Linked DNA regions of Arabidopsis thaliana. The protein of the gene in region 1 purifies or fractionates together with the protein of each later gene. This does not show direct contact. Each region holds a gene or a part of one and is shown in the gene's direction. Other genes may lie near its edges.

Region 1 (3,754 bases):
AATGCTTTTCTTTTTCTTCTTAACCAAACTGACCGTGAGAAAACCGTCAAAGACGAGAAACCTGATCCCGAATCGCATACCGAGTCAATCGAAGAAGAAGCTTTGACTCGCTTCTGTGAAGCTACAACAAAGAATGGGTTACCTTGCACAAGAAGTTCTCCTAAAGGAAGCAAAAGGTGTTGGCAACATAAGGAGAAAACTTCCAGCGATACTTCGCCGGTATATTTTCAGCCAGAGGCAGCAAAAAACGTAGCTTGTGGAGTTAAATTAGGCAATGGATTGATCTGTGAGAGATCTCCGGTAAAAGGACGTAAGAGATGTGAAGAGCATAAGGGAATGAGAATCACCTAACCTCTGCATCACTTGTTTATGTTATTTGTTACCTAACCAGAATTGTTTGTACCAAAACCGTTTTGGTTTCGGTATTGGTTTGCTGAACAATCATCTGTACTGGATGACTCACAATCTCATTTTTTATAAATTTAAAATCAGTTTTGATTAACATCGTTGACTTGCATCTTTGCATTACATTAGATGTTTTTAGATTTAAAAATACATAGACCCGTTTCCCGCCATGCCTCCACTTTGTTACTTGTCCATGATGCGAAAAACTGTAAACGACCCATTTCTTTTTCAACTTCCCTTCGCTTCTTCCATATATCTACGATCGTAATATATCAGAGCTGCCTTCTTTCATTATTTTTCTGTAGCAGAACCGTTTTGTTCTGTTTTATTTTGTTTGACAATGTCGTTTGTTCTATTATCGAAGATGGCGAAGTTGAAGTTTAACCATATACGACACACAATCATTAGCACGCAAAAAAGCACAACCATTATGCCGGGGATAAGTCAGCTCTTGAACAATAGGTCTCTTATCATCTCATCTATTCACAATGTTGTTGCATTTTTATCCTCTGTTTTTTTTCTTACTATTATTGGTCCTTCAGGCTTTAAATTAATGGTCATAATGTATCACCAGATTGATCGGAAAGGAATTCAGTTCCGCCGTCCCCACTATGTTCAAGAGAGAAGACTACAAGCTGACTATACACGACATCGCATTCTCCAAATGGCGGAATCTTATAAGACACAATGATTGGAAAGATTTCAATAATAGAAAAGAAAGGGTCCGTAGATACAGACATGAGGACTTACCCCCTCAACGTTGTACGGGTCTGTATGAGCTCGGTGTAGGCGTCATCGGTCAAGACCAAGGCCAAAACTTTGATCCTGATAATAATGTTCTTGGTGTATATGTCGGACAATGTGTAGACGTAAAATCAAGACTCCAGGATTATGGAAGACGCGGTGGTCATTTGCCCTCGGGTTTATATGAGGACATATTCTCGGAAGGATACTCAGTTTTTTATAGATGGGCACCAGTAAATACATGTCTTCTTATCTTCTCTAGTTGGTCTGCTACGTATACACCTTTGATCCTAACTCATGTGATTGTTTCTCTGCTTTACCGTGATTTATCAGATGGGATCTAATTAAGTAGGAAGCTGCTGCAACAGAAGGGATGCTTTTGAGCACTTTTGATTATGCATGGAACACATGCAGTAATGGGGAACGACGCCATCTTGAGTTACAGAAGCTCGGTGACCCCGAGTTTATGAGCAAGAGAAAGTCACAAGTGCTAGTTCCTTCTATTCGAGACCAAGTTGTTACCATCAAAGTAGAGAAGAGTAATTATACTTTCCTCACTTCAACACTCAAAGTGATGAGACCATTTGGTTAACCGGAGTAAACCTACATCGACTAGGTCAAAGATATGGCTTTTGTTTCTCCTAAATTAATTGGATTGTAACCCACTTATTCACGTTTCAAATTTGTAGTGTTAGTAGTTAATTTGTATAGTTTCTTTTTTTTTTTGATCAAAAATTTGTTACGGAAAAAGTTTGGTAAGAATGTCGGCAGAATCACCACCGTCGATTAACGGAAAGATAAATCTAATCTAACGGTTATTGATAAAGCATAAAACTGACGGCTCCGATTTTATTTTCTAAAAATCACGTTAATCACGCACCAGGTGGACTATCATTGTCTTTAATCTATGGATTTAAAAATTTCCGCACGATTAAAGAGCGTCTCGAAAATTAACTTTTATAGGTAGGAGGAGATAGAAATCGAATCTTATCGCCGCGTTAATATGCCACCGGCCGGAGAACTCCGACATCAATCTCCATCAAAGGAGAAACTATCTTCCGTTACCCAATCCGATGAAGCAGAAGCAGCGTCAGCAGCGATATCTGCGGCAGCTGCAGATGCGGAAGCTGCCGGATTATGGACACAGATCAAGGCGGAAGCTCGCCGTGATGCTGAGGCGGAGCCAGCTTTAGCTAGCTATCTATATTCGACGATTCTTTCTCATTCGTCTCTTGAACGATCTATCTCGTTTCATCTAGGAAACAAGCTTTGTTCCTCAACGCTTTTATCCACACTTTTATACGATCTGTTCTTAAACACTTTTTCCTCCGATCCTTCTCTTCGTAACGCCACCGTCGCAGATCTACGCGCTGCTCGTGTTCGTGATCCTGCTTGTATCTCGTTCTCTCATTGTCTCCTCAATTACAAAGGCTTCTTAGCTATTCAGGTGAAATCTTCATCATTTGATCTGATGAATCCACAATTTCTATATCTTGCGATTTGATTTATGAATATTGTTTTAGGTTAGGTTAGGTTGATTCTTCAGTTATGCGAATTTCGGATCATGATTTGGCTTTGTTGAATTTGAATTAGGCGCATCGTGTATCACACAAGCTATGGACACAATCACGGAAGCCATTAGCATTAGCTCTACACTCAAGAATCTCCGATGTATTCGCTGTTGATATCCATCCAGCAGCGAAGATCGGAAAAGGGATACTTCTAGACCACGCAACCGGAGTTGTAGTCGGAGAAACAGCGGTGATTGGGAACAATGTTTCAATCCTTCACCATGTGACACTAGGTGGAACAGGTAAAGCTTGTGGAGATAGACATCCGAAGATCGGTGACGGTTGTTTGATTGGAGCTGGAGCGACTATTCTTGGAAATGTGAAGATTGGTGCAGGTGCTAAAGTAGGAGCTGGTTCTGTTGTGCTGATTGACGTGCCTTGTCGAGGTACTGCGGTTGGGAATCCGGCGAGACTTGTCGGAGGGAAAGAGAAGCCAACGATTCATGATGAGGAATGTCCTGGAGAATCGATGGATCATACTTCATTCATCTCGGAATGGTCAGATTACATCATATAAAGTTGTTGTTATAATTGTTTCTGTGGTTTTGAAAGTGAAAAACTTTCTGACCATTCGCTTATAGAGAGGTGCTGAGGTAAGTGAGCTTTGTTGTATTTGTAATTTACAAAACATCTTACGATGTTCAATACAAGAAATGGCCTTAATTTGATGTTATTATTCAATCATTAGTTATCCAAGAGTTTATACACTTCTTCTACTTTGTATTCGGGTTTGGCTCGGATTTACACTTGTCTGCATCCATTTTACGGGCTTGACAAACATCGAGGAGCATTGAACTTGTTCAGACTAAGTGAAGCATTCTTCGCCTTTACCCCGGTTCATGAGGGACTATGTTTTCGTCAACCGCAACTAATCCTTATGCGTATCTTATATCAGTATATAACTTACGGCTTCTGCAAAGAAGGATTGGTCTCCATTTCCATTTACAATTCAATTCAGACTAAAAAGTTTCAATCTGATGATCCAAATAGTTCAGGATCAAGACTGTTAAACCATTAAATATCAATATTAAGCA
Region 2 (3,754 bases), about 13 Mb from region 1:
TTGTATGGTTTGTAGGTTATTTTTCCTAGTGGAGGAGAACGTTATTTATCGACTGAATTGTTCGAGTCAGTCAGATATGAAGCTGAGAATTTGCCAGTTGAATGAGTAGTAGTAACGTAGGATTCAATAAGAGATGTTGGTACCAAGGTTACATTTTGATTATTGTAGGTCATTGTAAAATCAATAAGAGTTACATATTCCTTGATGATCAATTATAAGTTGTTCATTAACTAATTTTGATATAATCCGATCGCTAGACCGTCACAATCAAACGTTAAATCTTACTCATTGTTAATGGTCGGTTTTGGCCCATGAACATAATAAGCCCAAACCAAGCCCAGTAAGTGATAGAAAAGATCTGGAGTGTTCCATCGACCAAAGGAAGAGGGCAAAGAGGACAGATGTACTGTGCAGAGTGGAAAAAGTGGTAAAGACTTACAAGCATAAAAAGGAAACCCTAAAAGGACAGGTCCTATAAGTACAAGAATGGAAAGGAATGAAAGGAAATGCGCAATTCCCGCTGACACAGAGAAAGGACAGCAGTACAACCATTGACCTCGCCTCGTCTTCAAGACCTCACCTCGTCTTCAAGACCTCGCCTCGTCTTCAAGACCTCACCTCGTCTTCAAGACTTCGCCTCATCTTCAAGACCTCACCTCGTCTCCAAGACCTCGCCTTGTCTACACATCGCCGATCTCATCCTGTTTCGATCATTCCGTCACAATACCACGTCCCTTAGTCAAGAAATTCTCGTCTAGTCATCGGCCTGTTAACCGAGACGGATTCTTTAACTCTTCCTAGAGAAACATCGTACTTGTGTGATCCCTACATCAACACTCATGACTCTTGTTTGTAATTGAATTGAAAATTAGATACAAACACATTAACTAGAGCTTGTTTTGATACAGAGCTTTTAGCTAACTCTGTTAACTCACTAACGGTCTTCAATAAATCCGGAACCGAATCCGGTTTAATCCCTAATTCATGTGTACCGAGTCTTCTTCAATAAACACATACCACAACCCTCCGCACAAACGAGAGACTCTTCTATGTTTATAGTTTTTGATTATTTGTTTTCTTCGGACCTAACATTTCAAAAACATGTTGTTTTTTTTTTTGAATACCAGAAGGTTTTGTACCGAACTTCATAATCTTTCCAGGCCCGAAACCACAACATGTAATATTAGTTTCGTCCCAAGTGTCACTCGAACCGGCGACCTCTAAATTTCACCTAGGATAATTATCAATTGAGCTAACTACACTTGGTCAAGAACATGTTTAAGTGTGTTTCTACAAAAAAGAAAATTTAAACAGTTGTCCAAAGAAAAAAGAAGCAAAAATCTCCAAAAATCATTGATCAAAATGTTCAGCACCATTCACCAATTGGGCATTGCCAAGCTTGAAGGCGGCCAATCAAAACTGTATTCCCAAGACTGTCTAAGTAGTTCTGTTTTTTTCATTCTTTTTATTCTTAATGTTACATCTTTTGTAAAACAGTTTTTTGTTGAATATAATTTTACATTCATACAAAAAAAAAAACTTTTCTGCAATTTCAAGTAATTTGGGCAACCAATGCAAGCAAATTGTGTCACTAACTTACTATAACGACACATTGTATTCTATAAAATGAAAAAGCATGTGGTTATGAAAATTTGATTTGTGTTAAGAAAATCATGTGGTTAAAAAATTGATCTGTGACCACTTAGGTGTAATATTATTCGATCGTTCGGATAAGTAACACATGATTAGTACTAGAGAAAAGGACAATATAATGCTCTTAAACATTTTAATAATAGTGTTAAATGTTTATCTGCAGATTTTGTTTTAATAACAAAATACAACTATTGGATGCTCTCATTACGCAATATGACAAAAACTCTTTAGATGTCAAATTTTTAACATTATTATACAAGAATGATGACATAAACTCGTCTTCATACTTCAACATCGTTCAGTGTGCACCACATGCAAAGTAGGGTAGTCTCTATATATCCTAATCTAGAATACAGCCTTGTCTTCTTCACTAATAATTCGTTTAAACGCAAAGGTACGACTTTTTTTTTTTTGTTCTTGTTCGTTCTGATTTAGTCTTACTATCATTTCTTGATTTTGGTATCAAATTTATCTAGTTTTCACTGTTCTTTACTAAATTTTTATTTTGTCTCTTATCTACTTTAGAGTTTAGAAGTTCCATATTAAAAATTTTAGTTATGAAACAATATAACCAAAAAATTGCCAAGATTGTTCTTGAATCTTACTTGTGCATTGTAAATAGAGTCTGTTAGCAAACTTTGACCATTGAGTATTTTGTGCTTTGTGTCTAGATTCTTGAATCTTATTCTATGGTTATTGGACTTCATAAATCCATTTTGTTCTTTAGTAGTTGGTACCCAAATATTGATTTTTCAATAGTTTCAGAAAACAGACCAACATGGAAGATCGGTGCTTGATCAAGAACGATATCACTGAAGTAATAATCTCTAATTTCTTATATATGTATCACTTTGCTTTTTTATGATACAAAGAACATGTCTAAAATCTTTTTCTATGTTTGTGCAGTTGATTGGTAACACACCAATGGTGTATCTGAACAATGTTGTTGATGGTTGCGTGGCTCGTATCGCTGCGAAGCTTGAGATGATGGAGCCTTGTTCTAGCGTCAAAGACAGAATCGCGTATAGTATGATCAAAGATGCAGAAGACAAAGGATTGATTACTCCCGGAAAGGTTAATATGAACATTTAAAGTTATCATAAAAGTTTCTCCATAATTTATAAAGAATACATAGATGGAATTTAATTGTTTTTGATTATAGAGTACATTGATAGAGCCAACTGCTGGTAACACCGGGATTGGTTTAGCTTGCATGGGAGCTGCAAGAGGCTATAAAGTGATCCTTGTGATGCCTTCAACTATGAGCTTAGAGAGAAGAATCATTCTGAGGGCACTAGGTGCAGAGCTTCATCTCTCGGACCAGCGCATAGGCCTTAAAGGAATGTTGGAGAAAACTGAAGCGATTTTAAGCAAAACTCCTGGTGGTTACATTCCACAACAATTTGAAAATCCTGCAAACCCCGAGGTTGATAAAATAATATCATGCATCCAACACAATTATGTATATGCTTTTAGTCTCTCTATGTCTTCATTGAACACAAGTTTGTATCTTGCAGATTCATTACCGAACCACGGGACCGGAAATATGGAGAGATTCAGCCGGGAAAGTAGATATATTGGTCGCTGGCGTAGGGACTGGTGGAACTGCTACTGGAGTAGGGAAGTTCCTCAAGGAGCAGAACAAAGACATCAAGGTACAAAAACTTTCACTAACGCTTAAAAACAACCAAAAACTCGGTTTTTAATAACTCGGTTACAATCTTGATCTTATAGGTTTGTGTGGTGGAACCAGTAGAAAGTCCGGTACTTAGCGGAGGTCAACCAGGTCAGAAAATGAACATTTGATAGATCTTATGCAACATATAGTATTGATTTGTTGTTTTGTATGAGATTTAATGTACATATATATAGTGACAACATTAACATACGCGCCAAGTTATCTATAAGATCATCGTTCTTTTGTCCGAGTTCTTGCATTTCTAATTATAATATCGGTTTATGGGACTTCATATTTGTAGGTCCACATTTGATTCAGGGAATTGGCTCTGGTATCGTCCCATTCAATTTGGACTTAACCATTGTTGATGAAATTATTCAAGTAAGTAGCCTGATATGATCTACTTCTTGATCTTGAACAAAT
Region 3 (3,754 bases), on another chromosome or scaffold:
GATTCAATTTCGGTACAAGACACAAAGCCAGTGGTGAGAAATTTCTCTTTACCAACCTTGCACACCAGATGTTCGACGATATGTCTCTTTGAAATCTTACCGTTTAGTTTTCACGTGCGTTTTCAGAATTGGTCTCTTTTCCTTCAATGGCTTTGATGGTTTTGAGAAGAAAGTGTCTCCGTTTGCCAGATTTTATCTCCGTTTTTCGACCTGCACCGCGTTGCTTCTCCTCGAGATTTTCCAACAGTGAAAGTGGTAAAGTTACAGTGACTGGTTTGAGTGGTTGTGGTATAGAAACTGTGGATGATGATGTTTGGCATGTTTCATCATCTTTATCCCAAGCTTGGAGACAGTTCCAAGCAGACACTGCAAAAAACTCTCCCGTTACAATACAAGGAGTAAGAGAAACAATACTCGATGATGAAGATCCCGATCACGATGAAATCGATAACATGAGAATTCGCGGTGATCTTTTCTTCAAGCTCGATCGAGGTTCAAAAGAATTCGAGGAATACAACTATGACTTCCACCGCAAGAATCAACACAAGAACGCTAAAAAGGAGCAAAACCAAGAAGAAGAAACAAAGATAAAGAAGGATAACAAGAAGGAAGTTCGTGACGAATACAAGAAGAGAAATGACTCTTTCACAGGTGAGACGGATCATCCTAATGAAGCTGTGAAGAAGAGAGAAAGAACATTTACGTTTAACCAACTCACGGCGCCATTTCACTACCCGTTTTGCTTAGACATATACATCTCGAAAGAGTCTGTACGAGCATGTGTGATTCACAGGGTGACTAGTAAGGTTGTAACTGTGGCTCATTCGATTTCAAAAGACATGAAATTCGATCTTGGTTCGAGAAGAAACGTTGCAGCTTGCGCTGCGGTTGGGGCAGTTCTTGCTCAAAGAAGTTTGGAAGATGACATACATGATGTTATATACACTCCTAGGAAAGGAGATAAAATTGAAGGTAAGCTTCAGGTCGTGCTTCAAGCTCTTATTGACAATGGTGTTAATGTTAAAGTGAAGCTTAAGCAGAGGAAACTTAAGAAGAAGACTAGTCATCTAATGATGGCCTAGAGGACTGAAATTTTCTAGTTTGTAATATGGGCCCAGAAGATATGTTTCTGTGTGGGGCCCAAAAAATGTTATCCGTTTCATTTCTACGTTTCTTGTCGGGTCAAAGTGTTGACTTTCTAACAATGATATCATCGTTTTCTTATACGTAACTTCTCTGCTCTTCCATAGCCGATCGACCTTTGTTCACAATTCCCACCGATTTTTATTTGCTAGATCGATATATTTTCAGGTATGATGATATATATATCATGGTTTGTTTATTCATCTGGAAAGTTTTTGATGCATCATGATCAGGACAAAGTTGGCGTGAAATGAAAAGTTTTAAATAAGTTTTTTTTTTTTGTTGTTGTTGTAAACCTATAATCAGATGATGAGATGATCCTATATTAATCGAATATTTTGATTAATTATACATGATATTTAACAATTGCATTCATCTTTTTTCTTTTGTGAAATCTAAGCAGTGAGCTTGAAACATGGCTTCAGTGGCTCCTAAAATCGCTAAAGATGTAACTGAAGTAAGTAACCTCCAAGATTATGTCTTTCTTCAACTATGTCTTGTCAGTAAATGTTTTTTTTTTAATTGATATTTTTTATTATTTGGGAGCAGCTAATAGGGAACACTCCATTAGTGTATCTAAACAAAGTAGCTAAAGATTGTGTTGGTCATGTTGCTGCTAAGCTTGAGATGATGGAACCATGTTCTAGCGTCAAAGACAGGTGCTTCCGAAAAGTTTAAAAGCTCTGTTTTCTAGTTTCTCTGTTAGTGACAAAAGAAACAAATACTTGTACTTTGTTCTTTTTTGTTGCAGGATTGGTTATAGTATGATTGCTGATGCAGAAGCTAAAGGACTTATTAAACCGGGAGAGGTCTGTTTTTTTTTTTAAATGGAAGCTATTAGTCAGATTCTTCATTTGTTAGTTTTTGAGATTTTTAACTTTTGAGTTTTTTCTTTAGAGTGTGTTGATTGAGCCAACAAGTGGGAACACTGGAGTTGGTTTAGCATTTACTGCAGCTGCAAAGGGCTATAAGCTTGTTATAACAATGCCAGCTTCAATGAGTATAGAGAGAAGAATCATTCTCTTAGCTTTTGGAGCTGAGTTGATTCTTACTGATCCGGCTAAAGGTATGAAAGGTGCTGTTGCAAAGGCGGAGGAGATTTTGGCGAAAACACCTAATGGTTATATGCTTCAACAGTTTGAGAATCCTGCTAATCCAAAGGTAATTACTATTTAGTTTAAGTGCCTTAGTGGATTTGAAGTCAGATACTTATAACATAGTATTGTGTTCATTGCAGATCCATTATGAGACTACTGGACCTGAGATATGGAAAGGTTCTGGTGGAAAAGTGGATGGCTTTGTTTCTGGTATTGGTACTGGTGGTACCTGAACAGGTGCTGGGAAGTATCTCAAGGAACAGAACACAAACATAAAGGTGAATTTCATTTACTTATACAATCAGACTCTTTCTTAGTAAACTCAAAACTTGTCTCATTTGTTTTCTCATCTTATAGCTGTATGGTGTCGAGCCTGTTGAAAGCCCTATTCTGTCCGGTGGAAAGCCAGGTTTGTCCTCAATAAGGAACTCTTTGGCACACTTTTTCTTCTTTTACTTTGCTCACATGTTAGTCTTGAGTGTTCATTATGAGGTCCTTCTAACTTTTGGTGTTCATATCAAGATTCATTGAATTTCAGCCTAACACATTGGTAAAAATGCTCAGGTCCCCACAAAATTCAAGGTATAGGTGCTGGTTTTATTCCAGGCATTTTGGATGTTGATCTTATAGATGAAGTTGTTCAGGTAAGGTTTCATACCAATATCATCTTGCTGACTCCAAAACACACCTTACATTTCTTAGTTGCCTCTTATAGTTTTGTAACGCTTACGCAGGTTTCAAGTGAAGAATCCATTGACATGGCAAGGCTTCTTGCTAGGGAAGAGGGTCTGTTAGTAAGTGCTTCACATTTTGCCTCATCAGATTTTTCTGTTAAGCCAAAAATGTCTTGATTCAGCTTTATCCTCACCATTATGATTCAAACCTCACCATGAAAATAAAAACAGGTCCTTGATCGTTATCACATTTGTCTCCTCCTATGTACTGTAGGTGGGAATCTCATCTGGAGCAGCAGCTACTGCAGCAATCAAACTTGCAAAGAGGCCAGAAAATGCTGGGAAGCTTATAGTGGTACGTTTTTTCCAAAGCTAAAGAACAAACAGTGAACTCATGGAAGCTTAAGAGTCGATCTTATAATAAGAGATGTGAAACTGAATGTTTCAGGCGGTGTTTCCGAGTTTCGGGGAAAGATATCTATCGACTGTACTGTTTGATGCAGCAAGGAAAGAGGCAGAGACTATGACCTTTGAGCCCTGAATCTGTTCCCCTTTCTTCTTGGTGATACAAATAAATGATCTTTCTTCCAACATATATATCTTCAGATTCTGTCTGTATCTTGTCATTTGTGAGAACTCAAAAGTAGTTTGTCTGCTACTATGAACAATCCATTTCTAGAAAGTTTCTGGTTGAGTTTTTGCTCTCTCTATTTGAAATCTTGTGTGATCAAAAACAGTGACGAGAGGACAACTACATCTACTTTATAAATAGCCCCAAGCTTGGTACAATATTTTAGTGATTTGGAATTACAAACAAAAATATTTTCTTTATCTCTTGTA

Evidence for each region.
Region 2: the proteins of SERAT1;1 (region 1) and CYSD2 purify together in Arabidopsis thaliana (affinity purification with mass spectrometry, with the first as the bait; one study listed by BioGRID). This does not show direct contact.
Region 3: the proteins of SERAT1;1 (region 1) and OASA2 purify together in Arabidopsis thaliana (affinity purification with mass spectrometry, with the first as the bait; one study listed by BioGRID). This does not show direct contact.

The regions. Positions count from the first base shown.
Region 1 is NC_003076.8:22,960,981-22,964,734, reverse strand, and holds SERAT1;1 (serine acetyltransferase 1;1), read left to right. Parts: upstream 1-2,021; 5' UTR 2,022-2,152; coding exon 2,153-2,596; intron 2,597-2,742; coding exon 2,743-3,237; 3' UTR 3,238-3,506; downstream 3,507-3,754. Other genes in the region: ET2 (effector of transcription2), read left to right, coding at 1-351; AT5G56770 (transcription repressor-like protein), read left to right, coding at 746-867, 980-1,382, 1,502-1,741.
Region 2 is NC_003076.8:10,026,844-10,030,597, reverse strand, and holds the start of CYSD2 (cysteine synthase D2), read left to right. Parts: upstream 1-1,875; 5' UTR 1,876-2,047; intron 2,048-2,062; exon of another isoform or gene 2,063-2,418; 5' UTR 2,419-2,431; coding exon 2,432-2,470; intron 2,471-2,559; coding exon 2,560-2,727; intron 2,728-2,729; exon of another isoform or gene 2,730-2,815; coding exon 2,816-3,079; intron 3,080-3,170; coding exon 3,171-3,308; intron 3,309-3,387; coding exon 3,388-3,439; intron 3,440-3,632; coding exon 3,633-3,712; intron 3,713-3,754. Other genes in the region: DES1 (L-cysteine desulfhydrase 1), read left to right, coding at 16-105.
Region 3 is NC_003074.8:7,962,297-7,966,050, forward strand, and holds OASA2 (O-acetylserine (thiol) lyase (OAS-TL)), read left to right. Parts: upstream 1-1,830; 5' UTR 1,831-1,894; coding exon of another isoform or gene 1,895-1,907; coding exon 1,908-1,952; intron 1,953-2,040; coding exon 2,041-2,304; intron 2,305-2,380; coding exon 2,381-2,417; coding exon of another isoform or gene 2,418-2,473; intron 2,474-2,477; coding exon 2,478-2,518; intron 2,519-2,597; coding exon 2,598-2,649; intron 2,650-2,804; coding exon 2,805-2,884; intron 2,885-2,974; coding exon 2,975-3,034; intron 3,035-3,188; coding exon 3,189-3,269; intron 3,270-3,362; coding exon 3,363-3,455; 3' UTR 3,456-3,611; downstream 3,612-3,754. Other genes in the region: AT3G22450 (Ribosomal L18p/L5e family protein), read left to right, coding at 147-1,082.